Linked DNA regions of Notamacropus eugenii. The protein of the gene in region 3 purifies or fractionates together with the protein of the main gene of each other region. This does not show direct contact. Links are inferred from orthologs where the notes say so. Each region holds a gene or a part of one and is shown on either strand. Other genes may lie near its edges.

Region 1 (7,675 bases), on a different chromosome or scaffold from region 3:
GGACGAGGGGAGGACGGACGGGCCTCAGGCCCAGCCCTCGGTCCCTCACCCCTCCGAGAGCCCGGGGCCCCCCGTGGGACAAAGGGCGGGGGCGGAGGGGGCGCCCCACGCGGGACGCAACCCCTCCCCCGCCACGGCGCATGCGCCGGCGGCCGCCGTCCCGTCGGACAATGGGGGGGCCGGAGGTCCACGCGTGTGCGGGGAGGCTGCCGCGGGGGAGGAGGGATGCCCGGCCCGGCCCGCGGCCCCCCCCACGCCCCAGCCCACCCGGGGCCGCTCTTTCCTCCAGTGCCCCTGAGGCGCCGGGACCTCGAGTCCGGCCGAGGCTGCGTCATGAACGAGAGGAACGGCCGGAGGCGGACAAGTGAGCAGCCCCGCCCCTCCCCTCGGGCCCCCGGCCCAGCCCCCCGCCCTCGGGAGCCCCGCGGGGGAGGGGGGCGCCCGGGCGGCCGCGGCCTCGGAGTAAGGGAGCTCTCTCCCCGCCCCCCCTTCCCTTCCAGTGAAGAAGGACGAGGAGGGCTTTGAGATCTCCGTCCCGTTCAACGAGGCCCCCCCTGCGGAGTCACCCCCCATCTTCTGCGGCCTGGAGGGTGAGCCTGCGGGCCGGGGGCGGGGCCGGGGGGGCGGGGGGCGCGGCCTCGCTCACGGCTCGCCCCTCCCCTCAGAGCCCCCGGAGCCCGCGTCGCCCACCCTGGCGCTGATGAGCAGCGTGAAGACCCAGCTGCACATGGCCCTGGAGAGGAACTCTTGGCTGCAGAAGAGGATCGAGGATCTGGAGGAGGAGCGGGACTTCCTGCGCTGTCAGCTGGACAAGTTCATCTCCTGCGCCCGCATGGACGCAGGTAGGGCCGGGCCCAGGTGGGGGGGCCCGCAGGTGGGGGCTGGGCGGGGGGGGGGCCCCACAGGCCCACCTGCCGTGCCCTCCCGTGCCCTCCTTGTCCTCTCTCCCATCTCCAGAGGACCACTGTCGGGGCAAGCCTGGCCCCCGGAGGGCAGAGGGCTCTGGGGAGGCCTCAGACCCCGAGTCAGCAGCCTCCTCCCTCAGCGCTGGCTCCGAAGAGGGGGGTTCTGCTGAAAGGAAGCGCCAGAAACAGAAGGGGGCGGCTGGCCGAAGGAGATTCGGGAAGCCCAAGGCCCGGGAGAGGCAGAGGGGTGAGTGTCAGGTACCCCCGGGTGTGGGGGGGTTGCTAGGGATACGGACAGAGGAAGGATGCTGGACTAGCAGATTGGGTGCATGTGTCCGTCCTCTGTGAGATCCTTAGCACCTGGCTGCCCAGCCCTCAGCCTCCTGTCTTTTCTGACTCCTAGGCAACTAGTTGGCACAGGGAATAGTGTGGGACCTAGAGTTAGGAAGACCTGAGTTCAGATACAGCCTCAGAAGTGTATGATCTTGGTCAAGTCACTTTATCTCTGTTTGCTTCAGTTTCCTCAACTGTAAAATGGGAATAACAGGGTTGTGAAGCTGAAAAAAGATACCCCCTAGGGGGCAGGACCCTGGCATGTGGCCAACCTGGTACCTGTGCCCTCAGAGACCCTCCCCTGTGAATTGTGAGGGATCCCAGAATAGGGCAGTCTGCTCTGCTCCCCACACAGGCAGCCAGGTTTGCATTGGCAAGGGGGCTGCCAAGTCCGTGGGATTCTCCTGAACCTCCTCGTGCTCCCAGGCTCTGCTTAGCCATAAGCCTTAGAGGCTCCATATTTGGGAGTCAGGATGCTTGGGTTCAGTTCTGATGCCATCCCTGATTCATATCAGAGGCTAGAGACTAGGGTTCAAATCCCACCTCAGATACTTAGGAATGAGAGGATCAGCTCTCTCATCTGTCAAATTGGGACAAAAATGCCTCAGAACTTTGTAGCTTCTCATGCCAGGCAGGAGAGGCAGGACAGGGTGGTGAAGAGTGCCATGCCATCCTCTCAAAGGCCCAGGGAAGAGAGCAGTAAGCAAGCAATTTGCACCAGGGGAGGGAGGTGTTCTGTACGGGACATCACAGTTCTGGTTGTTTAGGCCACTCCCACCTTCCCATTTCCAGGGGGACAACACTGAAGGCCAGGCAGTAGCCCTGGGATCTGAAGCCAAGCCATTCCCCTGGGGTGTCACCAAGCAGGGGTGGGTGGTTGGACTCGGTCCCCATGTCTCTGGGGCTCTCACTGGCTCAGCCTTTCCCTGGCCCACAGTGAAGGATGCTGATGGGGTGCTGTGCCGCTACAAGAAGATCCTGGGCACCTTTCAGAAGCTCAAGAGCATGTCCAGGGCCTTTGAGCACCACCGGGTGGACCGGAACACGGTGGCCTTGACCACGCCTATTGCTGAGCTGCTCATCGTGGCGCCGGAGAAGCTGGCCGAGGTGGGCGAGTTTGATCCGTCCAAAGAGCGGCTGCTGGAATACTCCCGCCGCTGCTTCCTGGCACTGGACGACGAGACACTGAAGAAAGTACAGGCTCTCAAGAAAAGCAAGCTGCTGCTGCCCATCACGTACCGCTTCAAGCGGTGATCCCCACGCCTGTCCTGCCCCAGCTTCTCCCCAAGCCAGCTGCTGTCACCGCCTTCTCTCCCTCCCACCCTGCATCAGTCTTGTGTTCTCGGGCCTGGATGGCCGAGCCAGCTGGAGCCATCGCCTACCCCAGCATGGATCCCCCTAGACTGGCTGTCTGCTGTCTTCTCTTCGGATGCTGGCTGCTTCAAGTGGCCCCTCCTATGTCCGACTACTCGACTCTCCTCTGCTTCTTCCAGGAGCAGCTCTTTCCAAGCGACAATCCTGTTCCCTGGGCTCTTGAGGGGGCCTCCAGAGGTAGTGGTTGGCTTGCATCCTGTGCTCTAATGGGCCTCCTGGCTACCTTTTCTCGCCAGGGGACCCCTTATGTCCCACAATGGTTCTCCTATTGATGTCTGAGCCAAGTGATGTGTCATTTACAACTAGTCCCCCTTAACGGCGACCCTCCAGGAGCCCCACAAAGGCTCAGCTCTTGGGTGGGATCCTGCCCTTGCCCTTTTCCTAGCCTTCCGCAGCACCCCTGCAGCCGGTGGGTGCATGCACGTGAGTGATGTGTTTACATGTGGTTCCAGGTGGAGGTGGGTGGGCTCCCTGTCTCATCTGCTGCTACCCTCTCATGGAGTTTGTGTGGAGACAGGAAGGCAGTGTATGTATGTATATATTTACCGAACATCTCCCCCTTCTGCCTTCCGTGGTGTCAGCATCTGTTTCCCACCCCCATTGCCCTGGCCTGGCTTCCTTTATTCCTTGCCCCAAACCTAGAGACTTGGGAGTCTCTGCAGACTGTCCAAGTGGCCGGGCATCACTGCCTCTGGAGAGAGGTCAGAGGAGCCCTTGAAAGAACCTGGCTTCTCGCTCCACTCTGGGTGTGACTCCCTTCCCTCCCCTTCTCCAGGCCTGTTTCCTTCTCTGTAAAATAAGGGAGTTCAGTGCGATCCTATCCAAGGTGGCTGTGAGGCCCTGGGTAAGTCTGGGTCTCTTCCTTCTCGTGAACGCGGAGCAGATGGGACGAGGAGCCCCCACGAGGTCGCAGTCTGTGACGATGGGGCCTGGACTCTGCGGAGGCTGACCGATCCTTCCCTCCCCGGCGGCCGCTGGGCAACGGAGCCTGGGAGCGCCCCCTCCCTTGAGTACCAGCCGCCGGCCCTGGACCAACAGATAAATGAAGTATTCAGAGTTAAAATTAAAAGTTAACCAGCAGATTTGGAATAACCTTGGCCTCGGTTCTGGCTGTGGGGGAGAGGGGGTGGCGAAGTGGACCGAGCCGAGAGACGGCCGGGAGCTCCCTTCCGGGGCGCTTGCCCGTCCCGAGGCTATGGCGCAGGCGCGACTCTGCTTAGGCTGCCGTTTCTAAGGCGACCGCCAAGGGAAGGAGAACGCGCTAACAGTCTTACGGGTACGGGGCCAGTCGGCTTTGGAGGGCTCAAGTGCGCGTGCGTGCTGGCCAGAGAGGGCGGAGACGAGCAAGGGGTAGCCTCGATCCTCTTTTCCCATTGGTTGGCCCCGCTTTGCACTTGCGCAGTAGCCCGGCTCCCCGTCCATTCGCTCCGGCGCAGCCGTAGCTTAGGTTCGGGTCGGCCTCGCGGGGCGGCCCGCACAGGCGCACAAAAGCCCCGCCCCCAGCTAGGCTCCACGGCGGCGCGGCGTTCCGCGGCCTACCAGTCGGCGCCCTCGGTTCCTCTCGCGAGCCGCGCCCCAAGCCGGAAGAAGTCGAAACGCAGGGAGCCGGGAGGCGGGAGTCGGAGGTGCGCCTCCGGAAAAAGCCGAAGTCGGGCCCGAGTGCCTCCGGAAAGAACCGAAAGCCGGAAGGGGCCGTGCGTTCGCCGGGGCCAGCAGGGGAACACGACGGCTCCGGCCGCGTTCGACCTCTAGGGCAAACTCGAGGCCACCCCGACAGGGTCTGTGCGGCCTCGCGGGCCGGGACAGGAGGGGGTGCCTCCCGACCAGAACTCGGGAGCCGCTGAGGCAGAGACCGCGCGGTCTGTTGGGGCCGGGTGAAGCGGGGCGGGGGCCGGAAACAGCCGAAGCGTTCCGGAAAAAGCCGAAGGGACTCAGGCCCCTCCTCGAGCGAGTAGGAGGCGGGGCCGGGGGCGGAGCCTGCGCGGGGGCCGGAAGCGGGCGAGGCGGGCGCCGGAAGTGGGCGAGGCGGCGCCGAGGGCAGGCGAGGCAGGCCAGGCCGGGCCAGGCGGGGGGGACGGGACGGGGGAGAAGGCGCGAGCGCGGGCTGCGGCCGGCCGCCCCTCAGCATGTCCGACTTTGACGAGTTCGAGCGGCAGCTCAACGAGAACAAGCAAGGTGAGTCCCAGCCTCGGCCGGCCTACCGGCCTCCGGCGCTCCCTTCCTTCCCTCGCTCCGGTCCCTTCTCCCCTCAGCCCGCGCGGCTGCCTCCCCCTCCCCCTCTCGGTCCGGCGCTACACGTGACCCGCGCGCGCCTCCCGCCGCGCCATGTGACCGCGCATCGCACGTGACCGCCTCGCGCGCGCCCGCCTCGGGCCCACGCGGCTCGGGGGGCCTTGACCGAGACCGGAGACTTTGGTCAGTGCCGGGACCAGCTAGGGTGGCCCCCCCCCAACCCCGACCGGTCCCCCTCCCGCTCCCTCCTCGCTCCGTGCTGCCCACTTCCGCTTCCGGTGGCGGCCCGTTCCTCCTCCACGCCCCCTTTGTTCCCAAAATGGCCGCGGCGGGGGCTTTCCCCCCCACGTGGAGGAGTTGGACGTGGACTGGTCCGGGATCGACCCCCGTGACTCCCGCCGGCCCAGAGCCCTCGCTGGCGTTCCGTCTCCCTTTCCCACCCCTGCACCTCCTTTTCCACTCTCGGGGCAGGGGGCGCTTCGAGACCTCTTGGGGCTTCCGGCCGGCCAAGGTCCCTGGTCACCGACCTTGCGGCTCCCCGGGGCCTCGGCGGGGGCCGGGCCAAGTGTCCTTCCCTGCTACTGGAGGGGGGCATCCCGAGCTTGGAAGGCCCTGTGGGCCCCCGGGGAACGCGTGGGAAGGGTCAAATTCATTATCCGACTTTGTCCCGACCCCTTCCCCGAGGGCCCCGTCGGGGCCTGGGACCATTTACGGTCTGGCCCTCAGCCCCTAAACACGTGGACTTGGCAGCCTGTGTGAGTGAGGAGCGGCGGCTGCCCGTGCCCGCCTTCCCCTTCTTGTGCCGAGCTTTGTTTTGGTTCCGACCGGCCCTTTCTTGACCCTCAGGGGCTCCTTTCTCCTGTTGGTCTTCTTCTTCAGGGCGTTCTCTGTTTCCGGCAATCAGAAGGGGTTTATCCTTGCCCTCTTCATCTGAGGCCTTCACCCAGTATCCCTCACCTCAGGCTGTCTCTAGAGGGCCTTTTCCTTCTTCCTCCAGATGTCCCTGAAATGGTCCCCATGTTTACCCTCTCCCTGAAGCAGGTTAAAGTCAGGGTCTCTCCTTCCAAAACTTCACTTCTAGTGGAACACCTTTGCCCTTCTCCGCTGCACGTACTCTTTCTAAATGAACTCCTTCTCAAGTTTGAACAAGTCCAAAGTTCTTTCAGTCGCAGAGATGAGAAAACTAGGGCCTAAGGAACCAAAGGGATTTGTCCAAAGTAGTCCAAGGGGCAGTCATGGGGCAGAATGGGGAAATGGAACCAAATATTCTGATCCAAGTCTCCCCAACAGACTCCTTAAGAAAATCCTCCTGTTGAGCAGGGTGTGGAAGTATCCCAAACTTCTCTGTAGTTTTGGAACCCTACTGACCCAGTTCTCTGAGACTGGAATCTGGAAAGGATAGGACCGCTTCCTCCCCTTTTTTTTCTGCCCCAATTCACAGGTTTCTTCTGCTGGACCTCACATCTCCTTTGCTGCCACAACTTAGTGGTTCTGTTTCTTTGCCCCCAACATTACCTGCTTCTAGCAAATCAAGGCATACTCCTCCAATCATGTTTTAGAGAGGGGAAAATCTGCTGTCTAGAGAATCCAAGGTTATACAGCAAATCCAGGTTGGAGCTGGAACCTCAGTTCACTTGCCCCATTCAGAAGGAAATCTATTTACAAGGAGGAAAGGTCCAGGTTGGAGCCCTGGTTCTGCTGCTAACTAACTGTGTGACCTTGGGCAAGTGAGAATTTCTTTCTGAGCTTTACTTCTCTTCCTTTTCATAAGGGAGATGGACTAGATGATATCTGGTGTCCTTTTCAAGTTTGACAGGAACCTTCTACACACGTCAGATTCATCCTCCTGGAAGAGAGAGGTAGATAAGGACTTTGCCAAGGTCACCCAACTAAGTGGGCCCAAGCTTGAACCCAGGGCTCCTGTCTTTCAGCCTATTATCCTTAGTGATCTGGAATCAGTGTCAGAACCAGAAATGGTGCTTAACCATTGTGGCACCCTGATTTCAGAGGATGTGAATCCTAGCCCTTTGGGGCCTGGGGTTGTTTGCAGTAGTTGTCTTACCTCAGATCAGTTCAGTGATCTCCTCTCCCTAGTTGAGCTTGTGAAGCCAGGGTTCCCGCCTCCATGACTGAGCTCTCCATCTTTCTGGTGTACTGGGTTAGAGGTGGATGTATACCAGTGAATCCCCTCCAGAGAAGGGATGAGAATTAGAAGAACCTGGGTAAGAAATAATGATGTCTAGCCATCCATAAGGGCATAAGACTGAGTTTTGGATCCTTGTTTCTCCAGGCACAGGGGGAGGTGGGACTGGGCCCAGTTGGGATCCTGGATTCCTGAAGAGAAGAATTAGTTTGATTTGACAGTGGGCAGTCATCTCCTTGGGAAGAGGTAGACCCTACACTTTTGGATCTTGGTGGGATCTTTGAATGCTTCAGTAAGCATCTATGGGTGACTGTCTCCATGGCCCCCTCCTCACTTTAAACACAGAAGCATGTTTTGAACAGCTATAAGATGATTGAGAGCCTGAAGATGGAGTAGGGAATGAGAAAGGGTGCATATGATGGGGGGAATCTGCCATCTGCCCCACTGGCCAGGCTCTTACCAGCAGCCACAAATGTATCTTGGCACTATGAGCTCTTTCCTTGCCTGGTGAGAGCTCTTGCTCCGTGTATGCTTCTGGCCACATTTCTGCTTCCAGTTTCCTTCCCTGCCATGGACCATGTGGTACTTGGGTAGGGGAGGTACAGGGAGGATAGGAGTCCCCTGCCCTTGTGTATCTCCAGTGTGTTTTTGCTTCCGATCTCTTCCAGAATGGGGAAATGGGCCTAAG
Region 2 (7,191 bases), about 260 Mb from region 3:
ATGGTGGAGAACAAAGATCAGAGATTCAGGTGGTTCCTCAACTCTGAATGTTCCCAAAGCGTGTGGCCTCTCCCAGGTATGGAACCAGCGGTATGGAAATCTGTGGGAGAGTATAGCCTCTATAATACCCAACAAAGTGAACATATATATGGTGGATGTGGGAAAAGGAGAAGAGGAGAGTTTTCTTGTAATTCATTGTGCTCTGCTATTTGATTAAATGTCTTTTCTTTGGACTAAAGGGTCTTCTCATTCAAATAAAAGGAACATCAGTGGGAGAACACAAGGAGAACCTGGTACTCAAGAGAGTGGACAGGAATGGAAGCTGTTTTCTTGATGAATCCAAGTTTCTATTAGAGCAAAAAGATGGAATTCAAGTCACTTGACCAGATAAACTATATCCTTGAGTCCTGGAAGAACTGTCCAGTATGATTGCTGAGCCACTATCATCGATAGCTGAAAGGTCATAGGAAATGACAGAAGTTGGAAAAGGAATATGTTGTCTTGATTTTCAAAAGAGGGCAAGAGAACAGAGTCTATACCCTATACAGAATCTATAAGTCAAGGAGTTTGACTTTGATTCCTGGAGACATTCTAGAACCAATCATTTAAAAAATGGTTGAAAAACATCTAGAAAAGGAAAACAAATGGTGATAGTGAAGTGGATAGAGCACTGGGCCTGGAGTTGGGAAGGTCTCAAACATTTACAAGCTGTTACCCTGGGTAAGTCACTTGGCCACTGTCTGCCTCCACTTCTCAACTGTAAAATGAGGGTGATAATAGCAATATCACAGGGTTATTGTGAAGATCACATGGCATATGCATGAAGCTCTTAGCACAATGCCTTGCATATAGTAGAGCAGTTAATAAAGGCTTATTCCCTTTCCCTTATAAAGAGCCAACGTGGCTTCCTCTAGAACAGGTTATGCCAAACTAACCTCATTTCCTTTTTTGACAGGATTACTAAAACAAGAGGGCAGTTAGGTGGTGCAGTGGATAGAGCACCAGTGCAGGAGTCAGGAGGACCTGAGTTCAAATCTTACCTCAGACACTTGACACTCACTAGCTGTGTGACCTTGGGAAAGTCACTTAACCCCAACTGCCTCATCCTGGGCCATCTCCAGTCATTCTGATGAATGGTCACTGAATTCAGATGGCTCTGGAGGAGAAGTGAGGCTGGTGACCCGCACAGATCTCTCTCACTCAAAAACAACAAAGTCAAATACAAGTCGTATCATCATTTCTCTACACACACTAAAATAAGAGATGAGAGGAATGCTGTGAATATAGTTTACCTTGATTTTAGCAAAGCTTTTGATCAAGTGTCCTCATACTATCCATGTGGCTATAGTGAAGAAATATGGATTAATGACAATACAATCAGATCTGTCCAGAACTGGTCAGATGATCCAACTCAAAAAGTAATTGCCAATGGTTCCATATGGATATGGCAAAGGTACTCCTTTGTATCTGGGCTTGGTGTTGTGTCATTGAACATTTTTGATGGTGCAATTCATTAAATTGGAAGAAGGCACAAAGCCAAGAAATATAGTTAATACACTGGGTGGCAGAAACAGAATTCCAAAGAAAAAACTCCATAGTGATAAATGTAAAGTCTCACATTGTACCATAAATCAATTTCACAAGTGGAAAATGGGGGAGGTATGTTTATTAAGAAAGTCGTTCTTTAAAAAAAAAAAAAAGTTCTGGACAATGAGTTCAATATGAGGTTATAGCGAAATATGGAAGACTTCTAAAAAGTTAAACTAATCTCAGGTTTCATTGACAGGGACAGAGCTTCCAGGAAAATAGGAAAGTGATAGTCCCACTGCACTCTACTCTTGTCAGACTTCATCTTGTTCTTTGTGACCCCATTTGGGATTTTCTTGGCAAAGATACTGGAGTGGGTTGCTTTTCCAGCTCATTTTATAAAGCAAGAAACTGATGCAAACAGAATTAAATGACTTGCCAGGATCACACAGCTAGTAAGTGTCTGAGATCAGATTTGAACTCAGAAAGATGAGTCTTCCCGTCTCTGGACCCAGTGCTCTATTTGTTGCACCTTCTAGCTACCCTTTGTCAGACTTCATCTAGAATACTATGTTCAGTTCTGGACACTATAATTTAAGAAGGACCTTGATAGGTTAGAAAATATCCAATGGAGGGAAGTCAGGATGGTGAAGGGCCTTCAGTATTTGTCATATGAAGACCAGTTAATGGAATTAGGAACGTTTAGCCTGGAGAAGAGAAGACTCAGTGGGGCATGATAAAAGTCTTCAGGTATTTGAAGGAGTTGTCATATAGAGAATCTAGTCTAGTTCTGTTGGGCCCCAGAGAGCAAGCAATGGAAGCTGTAAAGATTTAGCCTGTGATATCAGGGAAAACTTTGAGCAATTAGCATTGTCCAAAAAGGGAGTGCACTGCTTCCGGAAATGAAGGGTTCCTCCTGCTTGGAGATCTTCAAGCAAGAAATGCGATGAACAATTAATTATCTGAGGTGTTATGGTGGGGGATTCCTTTTGTGTATATGTTGAACTATATAGAGACCGAGGTACCTTTCAACTCTCAAGCTCTGTGATCCTATAAATATTATCTCGTCTAACTTCCGAGTCATTGCTCTGTTCTGTCTTCATTTCCCTACCTATTTGCCTGCTTCTTCTCGGTCTCCTTTACTCCTACACACACGGATACAAGCACAAGCACAAGATTTTTCCTCAAGACCTCTTCTCTTCTCTATATTCATTCAATCAGTGATCTCATTGGTTCTCATAGCTTGAGGTATCACCTCTATGCAGATGATTCTTCAATCAGCTGTAATCTCCTCTCCTGAATTCCAGTCCTTCTTAGCTCACTGTCTGTTGGACATCCCAAACCCATTATTACCAAAATAAAATTCATTATATTCCCATTCCTCTTCCAAACATCCCCATTTCTTTTGTAGGCATCACCATCCTTCCTATGACCCAGATTTTCAAAGTCAAAGTCATCCTTGATTCTTCCCCTCACCCCCCCCATATCCAATCAGTTGCTAAGTCTTGTTGATTTTACTCCTATAACATGTCCAGAATTAGTACCTCTTCTCTCCACTTTATTCAAACTCTCATCACCTCTCCTACCCTCTAGCAATAGCTTCCTAATTGTTCTCCCATCTTCCAGTCTTTTTCCCTCTCCAGCTCATTCTCCACACAAGTACAAATTAGCATTTCTAAAGTGCAAGTCTGACCAGGTGACTGCCCAAACATCTTCAGTGATGTTCTATCATCTCTAAGAAAAATACAAACTCCTTAGATTGGCATTTATAGTCCCTCAAAATCTGACTGCCACCTACATTATTTTACATATTCCTTTTTCAAGTACTCAACATTTCAGCCAAACTGAATGTATTGATTAGCCCTGAGTCATGTTGTCTTGAAAAGTCTCCCCTCCAAAAAACCAAAGCACTGTAAGACTACTCTATCTTCTCTGGAAGAAGCATCAGCAGATGACAGTTCCAGCAGATGTCAGTAGTAGCTTCGAAGAGAAAATGAACATTAGTTTGGGAAGAAGAGGAAAGGAGAGGCATTCCAAAAGAGATGCAACCTTTCTTCTCCTAGGAATATGCTTTTTCCAGAGGATATTCCCTTTCCTGCTGGCATGGAAGGCTAGCAGGGAGGAGTCGTGCTGACATGCTGAGAATGGTTCTACCACTTAATTTTCCCTTATTTACTTTTTATTTTATCATAACTAAATACTGTACCATCTAATTTATTTTTTGTGCCTGGTCTGTGGGTTGGATGGTTGTCATATTTGCAAAAGTGTCACCCAAAATACCCCATACTGAATCTGGGATAGTAAAGGGGTCAAAAATGTTTGGGACCTGTGGTATTCAGTAAATACTTAAGGAATAAAAGTGAATGAATGAATGATGAAATTGACTAGCCCACTTACAGGAAATCTTATCCACATGACACCTTAGCATAATTAATGTCATTAATTACACAAAGGAAATGGAATTAACTAGTCCCAAACTGTTGTACCACACTTTCTTTAAACTGGAATAGAGTTATGATGTGATCTTTCCCTGCCCCCACCCCAACTACCACTTTATGACATCAGAGAAGATACAGCCTCATAAGTGACATGCCATAGTTCCTTTCTCACATTCATCTCAAAGGAAGAGATGGTTTATAACTGCGGTGATTGGAAGAAGAGAAATCCTAATAAGGCTAAGGCAAGTGAATATGTTAGTCACTTATTTTTTAAAGATTCTTTTTTGAGGGTCTGATTGTTAGGAAGTAGTAAATCAAGAAAGGTAGAAGGACAAGGAAGAGTAATAGCAGCTTTACTCACACCCTTGCCGCTCCTTTCTTCTTGTTCCAATCAGATCTTCAATCAGATCAAATGTCACTTAAGGACTCGTAGTGGTAGTCACATCTCCCCAACTAGGTTGTGAACTCTATAAGAACCGAGAATTCTGCCGTATCTCTGCAGGAACTTCTTAGGTGCTTAATTATTTATTTATTGAATCTGCTTTAATAGAAGGGAGAGGTAGCAGGTTTGATTTTTTTAAATTTGGCTTTAAAATAATTCTATCATGCCTTTCCCTCCCCAGCACATGATGAAGAGGGAACATTGGGAGACTAATTTCCTTCAGTTTTACTCAATCCTAAGCAAAAAATTAGCATGGGAGAGGAGGGATACCACCTGAAAGCAAGGATGGTCTAAAGTTGAGCTGCTGTTGAAAAACACTAGGGAAGTTCGGAGAGTTGTGTTTGAAATCAACCCATTTTCTCATCTGTAAGAATGGTCTTAAATATCCAAAACTTCTTAACAGCCCAGGTCTCTTGGCTTTCCAGGTTTCACTATATCACATTGCCTTTTTGATTGCACATTTGATTGTGCAACATGGGAGACACTGGCACAGGACCTCTCAGTATGGCATGCCCACATCAGAAAAGGTGCTGTGTTCTATGAGCAAAGCAGAATTGAAACATCACAAAGTAAATGCAGGATGCGCAAATTTGGAGTAACCACCTCAAATGTTCACAAAGACTATCTGTGCCCAATCTGTGGTAGAGCTCGTATTGGTCTGATCAGACACAGCCAAACATGTTGAAACTTGACTTTATCATGGTGATGTCATTTTGGTCCTCTTCGAAAACAAAGGACAACAACCAACCAACTAACCATATCACATTGCCTGATACAGGGAGGGATGATAATAAAGGGTGAGCAAAGTGCTCATGGATCTTATAAAACCACCAGAATGAGTGTAGTGCAATCCTCTGTCAAATATTTCCCCTGACAAAAAATAAGGGTGAATAAACAGAAAGGCATTTGTTAAGATGGCAAATAAAGAATTTATTAAGCACTTCTATGCCAGGAACTGTGTTAAGCACTGAGAATACAAAGGGAAAAAAACAGTCCCCACTCTTTGCCCTCTTGGGGGGAAAAATGCAAGCATCTATGTGCAGATAAGACATATAAGGGACAGTGAACAAAGGAAAAGTATTTGAATTAAAAGGGATTAGAAAAGGCTTCCTATAAAGATGGGCTTTTTGCTGGGACTTGAAGGAAGCCAGGAAAGTCAGAAGGCAGAGAGGAGAAAGAAAAACTTTCTGAATAAAGGGGACAGGCAGTGAAAATGTCCAGAGTTAGGAGATGGAGAGATTTTCATTCAAGGAACAACAAGAAGATGAGTATGGTCGGATCAGAGCATAAGGTGTAAGAAGATTGAAAAGATAAACGGAGATAAATTGGGTTATGAAGAGCTTTGAATCACACATTTTATATTTGATCCTGGAGGTGATAGGAGACTAGAGGGGGATTGTTGGAGGGTGACATGATCAGACTTGAAATCACTTTGACATATAATTGACAGCTGAGAGATTTGTGGCAGGGACATTGATCAGTCCAAATCTGAGGTGATAAGGACCTGTTTCCAAGGTAGTGACAGTGTCAGAGGACAGAAGGAGGCACATGCTAGAGATGTCACAAATATAAAACTGATGGGTCTTGGCAAAGATTAGATGAGGGGGGAGGGAATGAAATAGAGTATTGGAGTTGGGAGGACTTGAGTTCAAATTTGACCTCAGATACTAACTCTGTAACCCTGGGCAAGTCACCTAACCCCAACTACCTCAAAAAAAGATGGTGAGAAGTTAAGATACCTGGAAAGTTAAGAAGCCTGGAAAACTAGGAAGATGGTAGTATCCTCAACAGTTTCAGGGAAATTAGGAATAGGGAAGGATTTGAGTTAAGATAATGAGTTCACTTTTGGACATGTTGAGTTTAAGATGTCTACTGGATATATGAGAGCAATGCCTATCCTCAAGGATCTTACATTCTAACGGGAAAAAAAACACCACACAAAAGGGAACTGAAAATTTGGGGAGGGAGAAAGGTGAAGAGAGAAGGTACCAGGAAGGTACATGGCCAGAGGTGGAAAAGTTGAGTAAGGGGTAGAGCTCATTGAGACTTGAGTGGTAATTGGCCCTGGGAAATTCCTCAAATGGAGGTTCTAGGAAGATACTCACTGAGGAGAAGAGGAAGCCTCTATTAATCCCTTACTATGTGCCAAGCATTGTACCTAGGCTGGGGAAATAGGAAAAAATAGAAAACTTGAGACAATCCCTGCCTTCAATTACACTCTAATTGTAGGAAACAGCACCAAAGAAAGCTTTCCCACCCCCACCCCAATCCCTCAGTGAGTATATTTTTCTAAGCATTGCTTTCGTAGGTCTCTCAAGACCTGTGAGCTCAGCCTGGGCTTTTACAACAGAATCAGTCAAGCAACCATTATTTATTAAGTACCAGCACGAACCAGTGTACCGTGCTTATGCTGAGAAAATGAAGACAAAAAAACTGCCCTCAGGAAGTGCACATTCTGATGGGAAAAGAGAGCATATAAATAGATATATGCAAGATCTATACAGTTAGATGAAAGGCAATTTCCGAGGGGAAAAAGCAGCTAAAAGGACCTTGAAAGATCTTCTGCAGAAAGTGTCTTCAAAGAAACCAGAGAAAGTAAGAGAGTAGAGCTAAAAAGACAGAGATGGGAGATGGAGCATTTGTTTGAGGAATACAAGTGCACCAATGCCCGCTCTAGGTGGTACAGTGGATATGATGCCATCCTTGGAGTGGTTCAAGGCACTTCCTAGCAATGTGACCCTGGGCAAGTCACTTAACCCTGTTTGTCTTTGTTTCCTCATCTGT
Region 3 (8,195 bases):
GTGTGTAGGGAATGTAAGCTTCTTAAAGGCAGGATCAGTCTTCCTTTTTGTTTGTACTCTTACGCCCAGAGTTTAGCAAGTGCCTGGGCATGGAGCAATACTTAATTGCCTTGCCTTGACCAACCCTATAACACGAAAGCACATGACCCATTTTTATTTGTACCTTCTCAGTTTCTGGGGTCTTTATAGGGCTATTCCTCATGGCCTTCCAACATTTATTCATTCATTCATTAAATATTTATTAAGCATTTGTCTAATGAAGAGCACTGTCCTTGGTTGGCTGGTTGTTCTTCGTTCTCAAAGAGGACCAAAAGGACATCACTATGTTAGAGTCAAGTTACAATGCATCCCACTGTGGTGGATCAGACCAGTACAAGCTCAGAATGTTCTACCACAGGTTGGACATAAATAGTCTGTGTGAACATTTGGGGTGGATTCTCTGAATATGCACATCCTGCATTTCTTTTGACCTATTTCAATTCTGCTTTGCTCATAGAGCACCTATAGTACCTTCTCTGATGTGGGCACACCATGCTGAGCAGTCCTGTGCCATTGTCTCCCATGTCACAAATCAATTCCAAAGTTCTTGAGACCATGGGAATGTCCTTGTATCACTTCTTCTGACTTCTGAGTTCTCCATAAATTAAGTCTTTTTGGCAAGGGAATGTTTTGCATTTGAACAACTTGACCAGTCCACTGGAGTTGTGATTTCAGAGTTCTAGGTCCTCAAGAAATGACCAGGCCCTGCCTTCATATGCCGATTACAGTCCTATGAGGAAACATGACACGTATACAGATACAAGATAAGTGAAAGTTAAGTGTTGAATAGCCAGTGAGGGTTGGAGGAGAGGAGAGGGGAGGCAGTGGAAGGAATCAGCTAGGTTTTAAAAGAATTTACTATAGACATTTCTCTGTTCTAGAAATCTCCTGACTCTGCACTACAGCCCTCCCTCCCTTTCAGGTGCTATCACCTCACATAACAATAGGTTACATGTTACATAAGGGATCATCCCAAAAGCCTTCTTAAAGCTGCACTAAGACTTTTGGGACACTGTATATGTGCACATGCTAATCCAAGTTATGAAGCATTTTAACATTCATGGCTCACATACACTTCAATATATATCATTCATATATACACTTGATCAGTCAATCAATGAGCATTTATTAAGCACCCAATATGTAAAAAACACTGCTAATTGAGGGGAACAATACAAAAGTGAGACAGTTGTTGCCCTCAGAGAGTTTATACATTCTATGAAGGGACAGAGCCTGTATGAGGGAGTGATCATGGAAGTGAATTTAAGCCCAGGCCGTCATGCAGAGAACCATGTGGCAGTAGATTCTCATATTTTTTTTTTTGCAACATTGGTAATAATAATTTGATTACTGTTTCCTGAGCAAAAGATGAAAAACTGCTGTTTGTTGGTTTGTGTGTGAGGATGAGAATGGGGGGGTGGTTGGATTCACACACAGAGGCAGGCCAGATAACTTGATGCTGATGCTCACTAGGTCCTAGTGTGCTAGGAAAGGGCTGGATGGAACGAAACACAGCTTGACATTTCTGGGGCAACTCCTCCCAGAGCCAGTCCCCAAATGTATCGCGTTAAATACTCTGGGGTGGGGAAGGGGTCCAGGTCATGATGGAGAGTGGTAGGCGGAGGTACAGAACATGGCAAAATAGACAGACTGGCTGGGCCTTGGTGTCCTGGTTGGATGGTCGGCACCAAGACATGATCCAATCAATAAAGCAACAATTATTAAATACTTACTATGTGCCAGGAACTGTAATAAGCGTTGAGGAAACAAAAAGAGGCAAAAGCCAGCCCCTGCCCTGAAGGACTTACAATCTAAAGGGGCAGACAACATGCGAACAAATCAATACAAAGCAAATTATGTACAGGATAAACAGGAAATTATTAAAAGAGGAAAAGCACTGGAATTAAGAGAGGCTGGGAAATGCTTTGTGTAGAAGATGGGATTTCAATAGGGGCTTGTTCTTGTTCATCCTTTATTTTCCAAGAGGACCAATGACATCACAAGGTGGTGTCTTCACTTGACTCTGAATTGGGCTTAAGGGAGACAGGGTTGCCTCATTCTCTACCAGAATCGTTGAAGTCCAGTTGGGACTTAAAGGAAGCCAGGGAGGTCAGTAGTTGGAGTAAAGGAGGGAAAGACATCTGCTGATACCATTTTTCTCTCTATCAGAGGAGCTGTAGAATTTAGGATCCAATTGGACTGGGGATCCAGCATGATCTGGTACTCAGGAATATAGGTGTTTTCTTAGTATCAATAGACTGGTTGCTAGCCAGGCCTTCTGACTACTTTGGGACTTAGCTAGTCCATTCTGCATCAAGGTAAGTGAACTCCACTTTTTTTGTACTACTTTTCTCTCACAGTACTCTAACCATATAGGCTTATTCCCATTTTACAGATGAATAAACTGAGGTTAGAGAAGCTAAATGATGGCCCCCATTTAACAAGCGGCAGAATGGGGACTTGAACCTGCCATTCCTAAGTCTAAGTCTAGTATTCTTTCCATTACAGTCTCATAAGGGCTTCCACAATGAAAATAATAATAGTTAACTTTTATACAGTGTTTACTATGTGACAAGACACTGAACTAAGTACTTTACAATTATCATCCCATTTAGTCCTCACAGTAATCCCGGGAGGTAGATGCCATTATTATCCTCATTTTATATTTGAGGAAACTGAGTCAGACAGAAGTTACCTGACTTGCCCAGGGTCAAACAGCTACTAACTGTTTAAGGCTGGATTTGAACTCCGGTCTTCCTGACTCCAGGACTTGCACTCTATCCTCTGCAACATCTAGCTACCTCAAATCTGAAGAAGTCTCTAAAACAGTTGATAATCTGTTTAATTTCATTCGATTCATGAATTAATCTCATTTGAACTTCAGTAAGGGCCAATAAGGGCCAGAGCCTGAACTAATCAGAAGAAGCACCTCCACCCAACAAATATTTCCTTCTCTGAGTAAACTCAGAGAATACCTCTTCTGATGTCAACAAGACCAGATGGGGCTGACTTAAGAACATTTTTTTTTTTCTATTTATGGCCAGTAAGGATGAGACCCTTAACCCAAGACACTCTCTTAAATAATGGGACTTTTCTATATCTTAATGTTTTATGGACATATACTATGTTATAGCATGTAAATGGTAAAGAAAACACAGATATCCTGGATCATAATTTCAATTGAAACTTTGTCAACTCTCTTATTTTATTGCATTTACCATGTATTCAATTAAGAAAATTCCTTTCTCATAATATGGTTAAACATATATGGAGATCATAAATTTGAGTGACATAGGCACTCTGAGTTGGGATTGTTCTAAAATATATTTAAAGCTGGTCATTCTTTTTCAGACAGTCAGAATTCACATTTTGGCTCCTTGTACATACAAGTTCACTATCTTTGGCTAGCTTTAAAGGAATAAACGATATGAATTTACATATCACCTGGCCTGTTTGCCTCCTTTAACCAAACTTTCAGGTCGACACAGGAATAGTTTCTATATAGCATGTGAAGGTTTCCAAAGCACTTTCCTCATAAATGGTCCTGTGAGTTTGATGGTACAAGTATTGTTAGCCTTATTTTACAGATGGAGGACTTTTACCTTACTTTAACAAGTGTGGAGGTTTAAATTTCTGTAAAAAAAAGCGGAGTTCACTTATCCTGCTCCAGAATGGGACTCCAAAGTAGTATGGTGATTTCTTAGATTTAGCTCCTTCCTCTGCCACATACGAATACAGTCTGACTAGCTAATCACAACCCTATTGCGCCCTAGTCAGTTCTCCAAAATTGTCAATTGCAGAACCATTGCTACTTGTATCAGGAGAGGGAATTTTCTCACAGGGAAACATCTTAACCAATGAAATTACAGGTCTGACATCTTCCCTCTCCCTACCCCCCAAACAAGAGTGCTTCATCTTCAAAACCTCATTTTCTTCCTCTTTCTAGTCTGAAGAAGAAAACTTGCTTCCCTGAATTGTACTGAGGGTCAAATCAGATAAAGGACGTGACCGCAGCCTTGCACAAACGGGAGGTGTTATCATCCTCATCGGCTCAGCTATTTTCAGTCTCTATTGTCACGTCTACCAAATATCTCAGGCACGCCAGCCTTGGGCAAAATGGTGAAACAGGCAATGTTTGTCCTTGCTGTTGTCTCTCCAATCCCACCTTACCTTAAAGGAAAATGGATGTCAAAGGCTTCCAGGCTGAAACCTTAATTAGTAACAGAAGACGTGTGGGTCAGCACTCTCCATCAAGTCCCACCTATAAAAGGTTGCCAAATCCCTCAGGTGTGGCCAGTATTCTGCCAGGTGAAGCCCGGCCGGACTTCTGTGTTTTAGTTTTGCCCCTGCTTACCCAAGCCACACGTGCACCAAGTTACTGCCCTCATTCTGACTAGATCTAGGGCTTGCTCCATAATGCTGAGTCAGGCTCCCTTTTTCTTTTCTATTCTCCTCTCCTGATAAAATAAGAACTGGCCTTTCCGTAGCATGCCTTACTTTTTCTAAACGCAGTGACGTCTTTTCTCATTTTATCCTCACCCTTTGAGGTAGGTAGGGCCGATATTGTTTCCTGGTTACAGACGTGGAAACTGAGGCACGGCCGCCTTTGGCAGGAAAAGAGCCCCACGGCCTGACTCAGCATTATGTTGCACCCCGGTCTTTCATCCCGCATCCCCACATTCGCATCGAACCCAAGATGCTTGCTCGCTCGCGGGTTGGTGGCCTGGGAGGTGGCAGTACACGACCAAGACCACCCCTCTCCTAACCCTCATTCTCATGCTTTCCCAGCCTTTTTTTCCCCTCCCCCCCAGATAAGGAGCAGGTGGTAGGGCCCGCGCCGAGCGCGCAGGCGCAAGACGCGGAGGCGGGGCGTGCGCGGCATCGATTTCGGGCTACGGCGGGAGCAGGAGTAGCCGCCAGTCGCCCGTGGAGTGCGCAGGCGCTTGGCGGTTACCGGTCTCGCTATGGAGCGGAAAGGTGAGCTGCGGAGCGGCCTCCGACTGCCGGGGCCACGCGGGGAGCGGGGTGGGGGGAGGGCAACGGCCGCCTCGCTGGCCCAGGGTGGGGCGAGGGCAGGTCGGAGACCCCGAGCTCTCATCGGACCCCCGAAGGCCCTGTCTCGGGGCGTGCACACCCACCCCCCACCTCTCCCGGGTTCCTTGAGCTGGCGGCACCCCCTCATCCCCCCACGCCGGCCTCCCAATCCGCTCGGCGGGGTCCGGTCCCCCTCCCCCGCTCTCTACCCTCAGCCCGGCCCCGGGTCCCTGCCCTCCCCAGTCCCGTGCCCTGCATCTCCCACATGCACCAACCCGGCCTAAGACCCTTCCTCCAGCCGGGGGCCCCCTCGTGTTCCCCGTGGGCTCCGCTTCTGGCTGTGGGGGGCCGCGGCCACTCTACTGCCGGTGCGGTGCCCTCACCTGGCCGCCCTTCCCCACCCGAGACCGCGCTCCACGTCACCTGGGTCCCCACCCTTGCACCGCGCTCCCCTTTCACGAACTCCTCTCTCCCGCAGTGCTTGCGCTCCAGGCCCGAAAGAAGCGGACCAAGGCCAAGAAGGACAAAGCCCAAAGGAAGTGAGTCCTGTAAACACTCTGCCCCTCCCCGCTTCTTTCTCTCTCGCCAGCGACCTGAAATGCCGTGCGCCTGCGGCCGGGCGGCAGGCTGCCGCACATGGCCTAGCTCCGGGGCCGGGCTGCGGGCTGCCTTCTTAGGGAGCGCCGGCGGCTGTGGGAGCCAGGCTGGGGCAGACGGGATCTCTTCCCTAACTTTGACCTCCCGCCGGGAACTGGTCCTTAGTCATTCATTTCTCGGGCACCGAAATCTCTGCGAACCTGCGTGGGTCGGGCTGCTTCCCAGCGGGCCTGCCCTGGCCAGCTAGTCTTCCCCATCATTTTGCGCAGTGCCTTGGTGGAGTAGGCGGCCCCTGCGATATTTTTAGGGTGAATTGCAAGCGGGAAGATGGGATTCATCCCTTTTTGCAGGGTCTACAAAGTTGTAGAGGATGGGAAATTAACCTTTTGGAGCACCCTTCGGTGCTGGGTACATATTTTGTAAGCATCTTGAGGGCAGGGACCATCTTTGGCTTTAATGGGGCCCCTCCCCTCACCCTTTTTGTGGCTTATCTTGCAGTTTGTAGTAGAAATTAAGTATTTGTTTAGATTTTTTTTTAACTTATTCCTCAAATACAAACAAGAACAAATCACTCTAAATAGGTCAGTTATGGAAGAGGATCAAATAGGAAAGTTATTAATGACAAATTTGTGATACCGCTTTAGATGATAATTCCCCCCACACACACACTGGAATAGATAATCCTAGTTTAAATTTGACATGGGAAACCTAGAATAGAAGGGCTGCTTCTGGTATAGTGCCTACAGAAGAGGCTTATTAATGAATTGCTTTGTACTAATACTTCAACGTGAAGATCCATAAAAATCAGGTTTTAAACAATGTGTATTCAGAAAATTAGCTCTTTATCATGGTGTAGATAAATTCTTCAATATTAATTGTAGGCCTTATTATTTTCTACGTTTATCATCTTGTTTTCATTTGGGTTTTTGTTGTTTCTTTTCATTAGTAGTTTTGGGGTTTGAGGTTTTTTGTTTTGTTTTGTTTTTTGTAGACTCTGGTTTTTAGATGATGTGCTGAGAACGTATTCGAAAACTTGTCTCATTGCCTTCTTTAATAACAGGAGCACAAAGATGCCTTCAGAAGCCCCCTCCCTCCCCCCCATTTTTTTCTTTTTGGAAGCAAGCAGCAACTTCCACTTTTTAATTTGGTGTAGCTGGGTCATAATGATAGTAATCTTAATCTCTTTGTTTTGCTTGGCTTTAAGTACTCAACTTAAGGAGTATTTTCATTTTCCTTTGTGAAGTGCTTTAACTTATTAACACATTGTATACATGCATTTAAATTTGATCCACAAATGAATTATCAGAAACTATTTTTTTAATCAAATTGAATAGAATAAGGTTGCTGGCACTAGCTGCTGCAGTATGAGTAGGCAAAGCATTTAACCATTCCATGTGTTAGTTTTCCAAAATCTAAATGGGGATGATAATAGCCATCATAGATACTAACGAGTTATGAGGTAAAGAGAATATGATACCTATGAATTAATCAATTCACCAAGCATTTATTAAGTGCTTACTATTTGCCAGGACTCTGTGCTGGAGATACCAAGGAAAAATAAAACCAGCCTCAGCCGTCGAGGAGCTTATGTTATTTTTGCAAGTTAGAAGACATGTAGTAGTTATAACATTCTGGTATTGTTATTCCCCTTTCTACCCAGACCATATGTGTACACCCGAGCTTCAATATTTATTTGAATTCATTTATTTTTTGCTTACTCTTTAAATACATTCAAGTCCAAATAACTTCATACAGGTCAGTTCTGGGCTTGAACTTCTCTCTCAGTTGATATATGGTCCTGAGTTACAGACTAATTTTAATATCAGCCTGAAAGAAATGTAATTTAATATATATTCCACATGCTAATATGTATTATCTTGGTATTGTCTTCTTATATAGTTATCTCATTGTTGTATATTGGTATAGGCAAACTCTAGGGTTAATTCTACATAGATAGCAATTATTTGCTTTTGATACAGGACCGTAAATTCCTTCAAGTCAGAGGCCCTGTCTTACCTTTGTAGCTTCTCGAAGCCTACATAGTGCCCTAATAAAAGAGTATACAGTAGTCAGTTAAGTTGAATCTATGGGGGAAAAAGTAGTATAGTTAATCCAGTAATTATTTTGGTACTTTGTTTTATAAAAAGGTGTGTATAAGTGCCATCACTTACTGATTTAATTTAGTGTCAGAAAATTTTGAAAATTTTCATTTGTAATTTCTCTTTACTTGCTAGATATTCCTATCAGTTAAGCTTTACGTTTTTGTTTCCTCAGTTTTTCTAAGTAGTGATATTGGTATTTGGTCTGCATTCTTGGCTCCCTCCAGCTCTATTCTACAGGCTACATGTATGCAAAGGTTTGGTAGGATCAGGGGAAAAGAAAATAAATGGATATGTGAATATCTGACAACTCAAAGCTTCACTCTTCTGCCTCTTGTTCACCATCTCCCCATATCATTTTTTAAAAAAACATTTAAAGGAATCCTTTGGAGATCAGTTTTGTAAAACTAAAAACTCTTGATAGTA
Region 4 (7,567 bases), about 230 Mb from region 3:
GTTACAGAACAGCCCGGGGGGGTAAGCAATCATCTTTTCCATGAGTGAAGGCACTAACTAGAAGGGTGGGGAAAGGACCCAGGCTTCAAAAGGGGAGATAAAAGATCAACAATCCCATTTCTTTACACCAAGCTGTTCCCTAGAGCCGAACGTTTCCGAGCGGAAGGCAGATAACAGAAGGGCCCGAGTTCTGACAGCTCGCCACCAAACAAGGGGAGGTCCCCCGGGAGCCTCATTATGCACCCCGGTGGGTGGGCTCAAGATGAAGGTAACCGCGGTTACATAAGGCCGAGGAGGGAGGGAGGGGCCGCCCGGGTACCAGGGGAGGAGTCGCGGCCCCGGGCGGAGTCCGCCGGGCCGCGTTCCCGCTTGGGCGGCGCTTCCCCCTTTGTCTAGCATTTCACTCTGCGCCACATTTTCTCAAAGCTGCCATTTTGAGCTCCTCCGCCGGGCGGGGTAACAAAGGCGCCGCCGCCATGTCCGGGGCCGGCATTTTGTCTCGCCAGCTCCCCGACGGGGCAGAGACCGGCCGCCCCCGCGCCCGAACGGCTTCGGAACCCCCCCAAGCCAGGCTGATTAGGGGACTTTTCTGGGGCTCCCCAAATGCCGCAGACCATCCCGCCGCACTCACCCCCGCTTGACGTCGCCTTTACCTCGTCTCCCCACCTGGGGCCTGTCCCCCCAAATCACAGCCCAGACATGAAAATAAGCGGCATCACAACAGACCCTTACATCCCTTCAGCACTGAGGGACAGGGCCACTAGACGCGGACCGCCGGCGCCCGAGGCCTCCTGTCGCCGACAGGGCTCCAGCCCACTTCCTCTCGACCCCACCCCCACCCCACCCCTTCTCAGCCGCGACTGACAAATGTCCGTACTCACCCTCGATCCCGGCCGCGGTCTCTGTCGCTCGAGTATCCAGACATGGCGTCAATGGTTGCGGTTGGAGGGAAGCAACCGAGGAGAAGCGGGAAATCGCAGGGGAGGGGGGAAAGGTGGCTTCGGCGGTCGCGAGGCCGTGCGGGGGCGGGGACTGAGACGGAGGCTGCAGCTAAAACAAGAGGAACCCAAGCCGGTGGAAATGAATGAGGAGCCAGAGGGCTCCCGGCAGCCGGTTTTATACCTGGACCGCCTCCTCCGCCGCAAAGCGCGATGGGAACCGCTCTATGACCTCATCGCCCCACCCCCTTCTGGGAGGGGGAGGGGGAAGACGCTAAGGTAACAACACCCGCAGGCGTTCCGAGCGCCGCCATGTTCTAGCCTCTGGTGGCGAGCCCAGCACCCCTCCCCCACCTTAGCTCGTTATTAACTCTTAGCGGCCCACCCGCGGATGTTTCCCTTTGCTTCGCCCCTTCTCTCAGGGAACGCCCTTACATTTCACCAATTCAGGAATAGTCAACCTCACTCTTAGGTTTTCCTACGCTAAGGCAGGCCGTAAAACATTAACGTCACCACCCCAGACTAGACGTTTGCGACTCTCAAGGACCACAGTACGCGGTCAGGGAAAAGGAGGAGGCGGAGGTTCCTCCGATCACGTGAGCGTAACCCGCAGCCCACTGGGCCGGCCACTGCACTATTTATCCACTCACTTAGGCGGAGGTATACGAAAAATGTAGAGCTGGGCGGCAGGCCCCGGCACCCGGCCGGCTACCTCCCTAGGTTGAATGGTTATACTAGGTCGGCCACCGGTCTGTCTAACCGACGGAGCGGCCTGAAAAGCCTGAAGCGGGAATAATCCCGCGGGGAGTTGTAGTAGTAGCCCCTAAACCGCTGCCTGGCCGCGTGCAGCGACAGGAAGTGCACCCAGATGGCCAATCAGCAGCGAGAAGCCGTTTTAACGTCCCTCCCTCGCCTCCCCCAGTTACCTTACGGTTCTCCTCGCCCTCCCCCCCCCCGCCCCGCGTCGTCCTGCCCCGCCACACTCCTTTCCCTTAACGGTCCCTCCAGGACACCGTTCCCCGCGAGCCCCGCCGGTGTACAGCTCTCGCGGACATGGAGGCCCGGGAGGAGGCTGGTGAGTCTCCCAGCTGAAGCCGACACCCATGGGTGGCGGGGGAAGAGGAAGTGTGCACGCTGCGAATGCGCGGGGCCGCCGCTCCTCCCCTTCGCCGGCTTGCCGGCTGGCGGGTGTGAAGCGTTTTTACCTAGCCTGAAAGCGCTTTGAGCCCATGCCTCTCACCCCCAGCTGAGCTCCAGAACTCGCTCTGGGGAACCCCGGGCTCCCTGGGAGGCGTGTTCCGAGGGTGGTTTTATGTGATGTGTCCCCTGTTGGGGTTCCCCTTTCCCTCCCGAGGCGGACCTGCCAGCTGAGAGGGAGGCACCCCAGCGGGCCTAGGTCTGGGGAGCACACGCCGGGCTCCGTAGGGCAGGCGAGGAGGGAGAGCTTGGTTATCTCACCCGAAACGCTGCTCCGCAGGTCTGAGCACCACTCGGCAGCTCCTCTCACGCGTTTGTTCTTTTTGAGAAGGTAGATTTGCGCTGATTGTAGGAAGTCGTGGTTTTTGTGTTGAAGGAACCTGAACAAAATACATTTTCCGACCGGAAAGCTGTTGGTGAAAACTCCAAGTTAGGTCCCTGGTCTTCCTTTTCTAATTCCTGTTATCTACGTATTGCTTGGGTCTGGCAGCAGAACAACCAGCTCGGTTTTTCACTTAAAGCTTTACCTAGTAATGTGTTTATGGTGTGAAATATTCACGTTGAGGGTTGTCAAATTAAGTCAGCAAGCGTTGTTTTAGAGCCTTCGGTGCGCCGGGAAGTACCCCCGAACCCTGAGGGTACAAAGAAAGGCAAACCCAGCCGCTGGGTACAAAGGAGATACAGACAGGACAGACTGAAAAAGTTCAGTGAAAAGGAAAAAAAAAAACCCCGGCACTCGAGGTCTGTCTTGTAGAATGGCCAGCTTTGTGCCTTGGTTGAGTTGCTGCTGTCCAGGAGCAGACAGCTGCTTTGGGCACCGCAGTCCATTATTGTAGTAGCTTGGGAAGCTTGACCGTGGAGAGTGAGTACTGCTGGATAGGTCTCCAGTGCCAGAATGACAGGGAATTGGTTTCCTATGATGGTTATCAGTTTTACCAGAATCAGATCAATCTTAAGCACCTCCTGCGAGCTAAACGCTGAGGAAACTGACAAAGGTGAAATAACCCCTCCCCTCCCGAAGCTTGTGGAGGGAAACAACATGCACGTAACTATGTATCAATGCAAGGCAGTGTTTGACTCCAGGACACCAGCAGCAGCTTCATGGAGAAGGTGGTGGTTGCGGAGAAACTAATGGAATCATAGCTTATGTTCATCTTAGAAGGATGAAAATTATTTTGACATTCAAAAGCTCACCATTTCAAAGTTCCTGGTGTTCCATTATTTTCACATCATGAGCTGCAGTTTAAAGTTGTGATGAAGTAACATTTGGGCTCCCATACACAATCTTAAAAATGTAGTACTGATTACTTTTGATTATTTCTATTCTGTTAGTAAAAACAGTATCTCAAAAGTGGATAAATTTATAATTTACTTAAAATACTAACAAAACTAAACCTAAGTCTTTTAGGAATTTATAGTCAGAGCTGTTATTTTCAGAATAATATTTAGAGTATGACTTTTCCCTACACTTGTAAATATTTTTAGTTTAAAGACAGCTTTTTTTTGATTCCTTATCTACTTAAGTAAACAGAACTCCATACTTGATTTTTTTAGATTTGCTTTTTTCCAACTCGATAACATTTTTTTACATCTTTTTTTTTCCAGAGTGGGTATCAGTTGCCAATAACCTTCTTTTGAAGTGTCATATTTGGCTGAGGATACAGTCTCTTTCTGAGTGTGATGCAAATGTGTTTATTACTCTTTATCATTCTATCTTGGGAGAAGTAGTACCAGGTAAGAATACTAAGACATGGGGTCAGTTTATTTCCTATATTTTGTCTCCCAGGACTTTCACTGCAGTTTAGTCTTTTTGCAATTACAAAAAAGAATTCTACCTATTTGAATTGAAATGTTACATCCGTGCTGTAATGCCCTGATGACAAACACAACTTTTCCAATTCTAAATCCATGTATGGTATTCTGAAGCTTAAATACTTTGGTCACATAATGAGAAGACAGGACTCTTTGGAAAAAACCGTGATTTTGGGAAAGATTGAAGGCAAAAGGAAAAGGGAAGTCAGAAGATGAAAAGGATAGATAATGTCACAGAAACAATAAACATAAACAGACTTCAAGAAATGGTGGAGCATAGAAGGGCCTGGCATGCTATAGTCTGTGTGGTCATGAAGAATCGGACACGACTAAACAATGATGTTTTAAGTCATTTTGTCAGGATTTAATAACTGCTTAATTGCAGCTCTGCTGAATAGATACATTAAAATGGCACTGAGATTGTATAAGATCCAGTCAGCATTTAAAGGTTTAAATTTCATTTTAATTTAGGAGAAAAAAAAGCATATTTACTTGAGGGAACTGAGTTTGTTGGGTTTTTTTGCCTTTTGAAGTCTAATTGTCTTTCAGAATTTGAATTCTTTATGTCAGTATTAGTGTGCTTTTCCCACTGTTTCCTCAGTCATCTTTAACATAACTTACTGCCCATGTACAATGAATCATCATTGATTAGAGATTCTGTGGTCCTCTTCCTCTCCACCATTTCTGCTGCCACACCCCTACACTAGACCCCCTGATGACCTGGATTAGTCAACATCTTCTGAATTTGGTATTTTGCAGTTATAAAACAATGTTATTTCCCTTTCCTTCACAGACCTCATAACTGTCCCTAAGAACCAAGAAGATCATGCACACAATGTACAAGCAATTATTGATTCACTGGCCTTGGATTACTTGCAGGTCAGCTTGTCCCATATAACAGGTTAGTAACGTGAACCATCTCAAACTGAATTCAAACAATTATATTTTTCCTGAGGAAATTATTTTGTTTCTTTGGACTCTATGCGTCATTTAATTGAGCAGATGCTGAAAGGGTAAGAACACTGGATTTACAGTCAAGAGATCTGTAATTTAATGCCCCTTTGTAATTAAGCCTTGAAGTAGCAAATATTTATCAGTTTCCCGCTCAGTACCAGGCACTTGGCATTGATGTAGTTGCAGAGTGTTTTACATATATTCTCATTTGATCCTCACAACAATCCTATGATAATAATCCAAGTATTGTGGCCATGATTATACAGATGAACAGACTGAGACTTGAAGAATAGAAATGACTATTTCCTCATGATCAGACACAGGAAAACATGACAGAGGTGAATTGGAACCTGTGTCTCTTCTGAGTCCATAGGTAATACTTTTACAAAAACATACGCTCTCCCAAGCCTTCCAGCCACTATTTTCTCATCAAATCACTTAACTTCTCTGGTCTTGTTTCCTTATTGATAAGAATGAGGGAATGGGACTAGTAAATTAATTTGTTCATTTATTTTCCTTCATTTTGTTTATATTCAGACATTAAGCATCTGGTGCTTTGCTCCTTGTTAAGAATCAGAGATAGAAAGTTGAAAACACACTTCCTGCTCAGTTGGATCTTACATACTTGCAAACAAGTCACTAAGACACTAAGACAGATAACTATAATGTATTTTACTATATAAGTTCATTTAGGAGGTGCAGAATAAATGGTCAAATGGTGGTGGTTTAGGGGAGGGAAATAAGAACACTTCATAGAAGTGGCATTCAGTTGTAGAAATTCAATTAGAGAAGAGGGAAGGAGGGAATTCTAGGCTTATGAGATTGTGTGAACCAATCCAAGAAGGTGGGAAAGTTCATGGTGTGTCCAGGAGCAAAAAGTAGGTACAATCCATCTGGTTTTCCAACAGTGAGAAGTTATATGAAATAAGCTGAGTTAGTATGACATAGTTTTAATGTCACAGTTCTATTAGTCACAGTTAAGACTGGCATCTTCATCTTTCAGATGAGGAAATTGGGGCCAGAAATTAAAGGGAACTCAATTGAGAGTGTAATTACAATACACAGTATGGGATGCTGAGCAGCTAAATTGTTCTCCCCACCCTGGAAAGCAGAGACACCCTGGAGTTACTTACAATTGTGTATTCTGATAGGAAATGAAAACTATGCAATTTCTGTTTTATTGAGTGTTCAGCTTTTTTTACTCCTCATTTTTATTCCCAGGAGTTCTTCTAGGCTTCAAATTCTTGCTCTGGATGTGTAAAATAATAACCATTATCTAATGTTATTTAAAACAAAAAAATCTGCTATACCACCCATATGAGTGGTACTAAATGGAGCCTTATTCATTTTAATTATGAATAAATAAGTGAATTCTCTCAAAACCAAAACTTTCACCATTACTTCTCCTCATGTTGTTTTGTACTACTGCCAGTACTGAGATAAAAAAAAGTTTAAATGGTCTTTACACATAAAGGCTATATTTTTCATAGGCTTTTAAGTTCATTTTGTGAATTGCATTGCCAATACAGTTAAGCTCTTAACAGTTTCAATAGCGCTTAAGAAAGTCCCTCCCCTTTAGTTTCCTTGCATGTTTTTGCCTACCTGATTAGCAAAAAGTGTGAACTCTTAAGTGTGTATGAAGAAGTAACTATATGAAATCTTATCTTTCATATCCAAATAGTATTTATATGGTAAATATTTACATAGTGTTTTTCATACATTAATTCATTTGATTCACATCACATCCCTTTGAGATAAGTACTACAAGTGTTGTTATCCCCATTTTACAGATGAAGACACTGAGGCTCAGAGAGGTTAAACGATTTTTTCCATTGTCACACAGTTAGTAAGTGTCAGAAGCAGGACTTGCACCCAGGTCTTCTTTATTTCAAGTACAGCAGTCAATCAGCCAGGCTCTAGCCCAACAAATTTCTCCTGAACAAAGTAGCATCTTCATGCAGGTAGGGACCTATAAATTCAAGTAGAATGTCTCCCTCTGATAAAAATTCACTAAATGCTTTTTATCTTATTAAAAATATAACTAGAGGATGTGCCATTTCAGCCTGTCCTCTTAAAAATAAAAGGAATGTTGGCTAAATAAATGCATATAAATGTAATCAGAAAAGATGAATATGAAGAAAACCAAAGCATGGGAAAACTTGATATGAACTGATGCAAAGTGAATTAACAGAACCATAAAAGCTATGTACATAATGATTACAAGTATGTAAAAGAAAAAAACCCAGCAACATAAATTGAAAACAAATTCTGAGAATTTGAATCCAAAGGAGAAATAGGAATGCACTTCCCTCTTCTTTGCTAAGATGGAGGGTTAAGGGTATGAAACGCTCTATGTCACACTTGGTTGTTGTGCTAGTTTTACTGAACTGTTTTTTCTCCCTCTTTATTCTTTGTTACAAGGGATAGCTCTCTGAGAGAGGGAGATAGAAGTAATATGTTGAGAGATAAAGTTGATTAAAAACAATTTTTAGAAGATAATGCTAATAAATTGCAATCAGCAAGCATCTATATAGCACTTAATATTTGTTAAGCACTGAGAATACAGAGAAAGGCAAAAAACCATCCCTACTCTGAAGGAGCTAAACGATTACATTTAAAGGTTGTTGTTTTTTTCCTTACACAATAGCATTCCAGTACCCAGGTTT

Evidence for each region.
Region 1: the proteins of SRPK1 (region 3) and U2AF2 purify together in Homo sapiens (affinity purification with mass spectrometry; 3 studies listed by BioGRID and IntAct, counting the BioPlex papers as one, with this or other methods). This does not show direct contact. The link is inferred for Notamacropus eugenii from reciprocal best matches to the Homo sapiens genes SRPK1 and U2AF2.
Region 2: the proteins of SRPK1 (region 3) and TOP2A fractionate together in Homo sapiens (co-fractionation; 3 studies listed by BioGRID and IntAct, with this or other methods). This does not show direct contact. The link is inferred for Notamacropus eugenii from reciprocal best matches to the Homo sapiens genes SRPK1 and TOP2A.
Region 4: the proteins of SRPK1 (region 3) and DDX5 purify together in Homo sapiens (affinity purification with mass spectrometry; 3 studies listed by BioGRID and IntAct, with this or other methods). This does not show direct contact. The link is inferred for Notamacropus eugenii from reciprocal best matches to the Homo sapiens genes SRPK1 and DDX5.

The regions. Positions count from the first base shown.
Region 1 is NC_092876.1:18,154,939-18,162,613, forward strand, and holds the start of U2AF2 (splicing factor U2AF 65 kDa subunit), read left to right. Parts: upstream 1-4,607; 5' UTR 4,608-4,738; coding exon 4,739-4,787; intron 4,788-7,675. Other genes in the region: CCDC106 (coiled-coil domain-containing protein 106), read left to right, coding at 290-364, 501-590, 666-842, 958-1,152, 2,176-2,492. UniProt on the Homo sapiens protein: Plays a role in pre-mRNA splicing and 3'-end processing. By recruiting PRPF19 and the PRP19C/Prp19 complex/NTC/Nineteen complex to the RNA polymerase II C-terminal domain (CTD), and thereby pre-mRNA, may couple transcription to splicing.
Region 2 is NC_092873.1:355,954,806-355,961,996, reverse strand, and holds the start of TOP2A (DNA topoisomerase 2-alpha), read left to right. Parts: upstream 1-4,151; 5' UTR 4,152-4,156; coding exon 4,157-4,207; intron 4,208-7,191. UniProt on the Homo sapiens protein: Key decatenating enzyme that alters DNA topology by binding to two double-stranded DNA molecules, generating a double-stranded break in one of the strands, passing the intact strand through the broken strand, and religating the broken strand.
Region 3 is NC_092873.1:92,960,048-92,968,242, reverse strand, and holds the start of SRPK1 (SRSF protein kinase 1), read left to right. Parts: upstream 1-4,908; 5' UTR 4,909-5,003; coding exon 5,004-5,016; intron 5,017-5,551; coding exon 5,552-5,612; intron 5,613-8,195. UniProt on the Homo sapiens protein: Serine/arginine-rich protein-specific kinase which specifically phosphorylates its substrates at serine residues located in regions rich in arginine/serine dipeptides, known as RS domains and is involved in the phosphorylation of SR splicing factors and the regulation of splicing.
Region 4 is NC_092873.1:327,525,217-327,532,783, forward strand, and holds the start of DDX5 (probable ATP-dependent RNA helicase DDX5), read right to left. Parts: upstream 3,089-7,567; 5' UTR 2,397-3,088; intron 2,014-2,396; coding exon of another isoform or gene 1,992-2,013; exon of another isoform or gene 1,881-1,991; intron 1,679-1,880; exon of another isoform or gene 1,589-1,678; intron 1,535-1,588; exon of another isoform or gene 1,374-1,534; intron 1,051-1,373; 5' UTR 926-1,050; coding exon 882-925; intron 1-881. Other genes in the region: CEP95 (centrosomal protein of 95 kDa), read left to right, coding at 1,992-2,013, 3,741-3,869, 4,741-4,848. UniProt on the Homo sapiens protein: Involved in the alternative regulation of pre-mRNA splicing; its RNA helicase activity is necessary for increasing tau exon 10 inclusion and occurs in a RBM4-dependent manner. Binds to the tau pre-mRNA in the stem-loop region downstream of exon 10.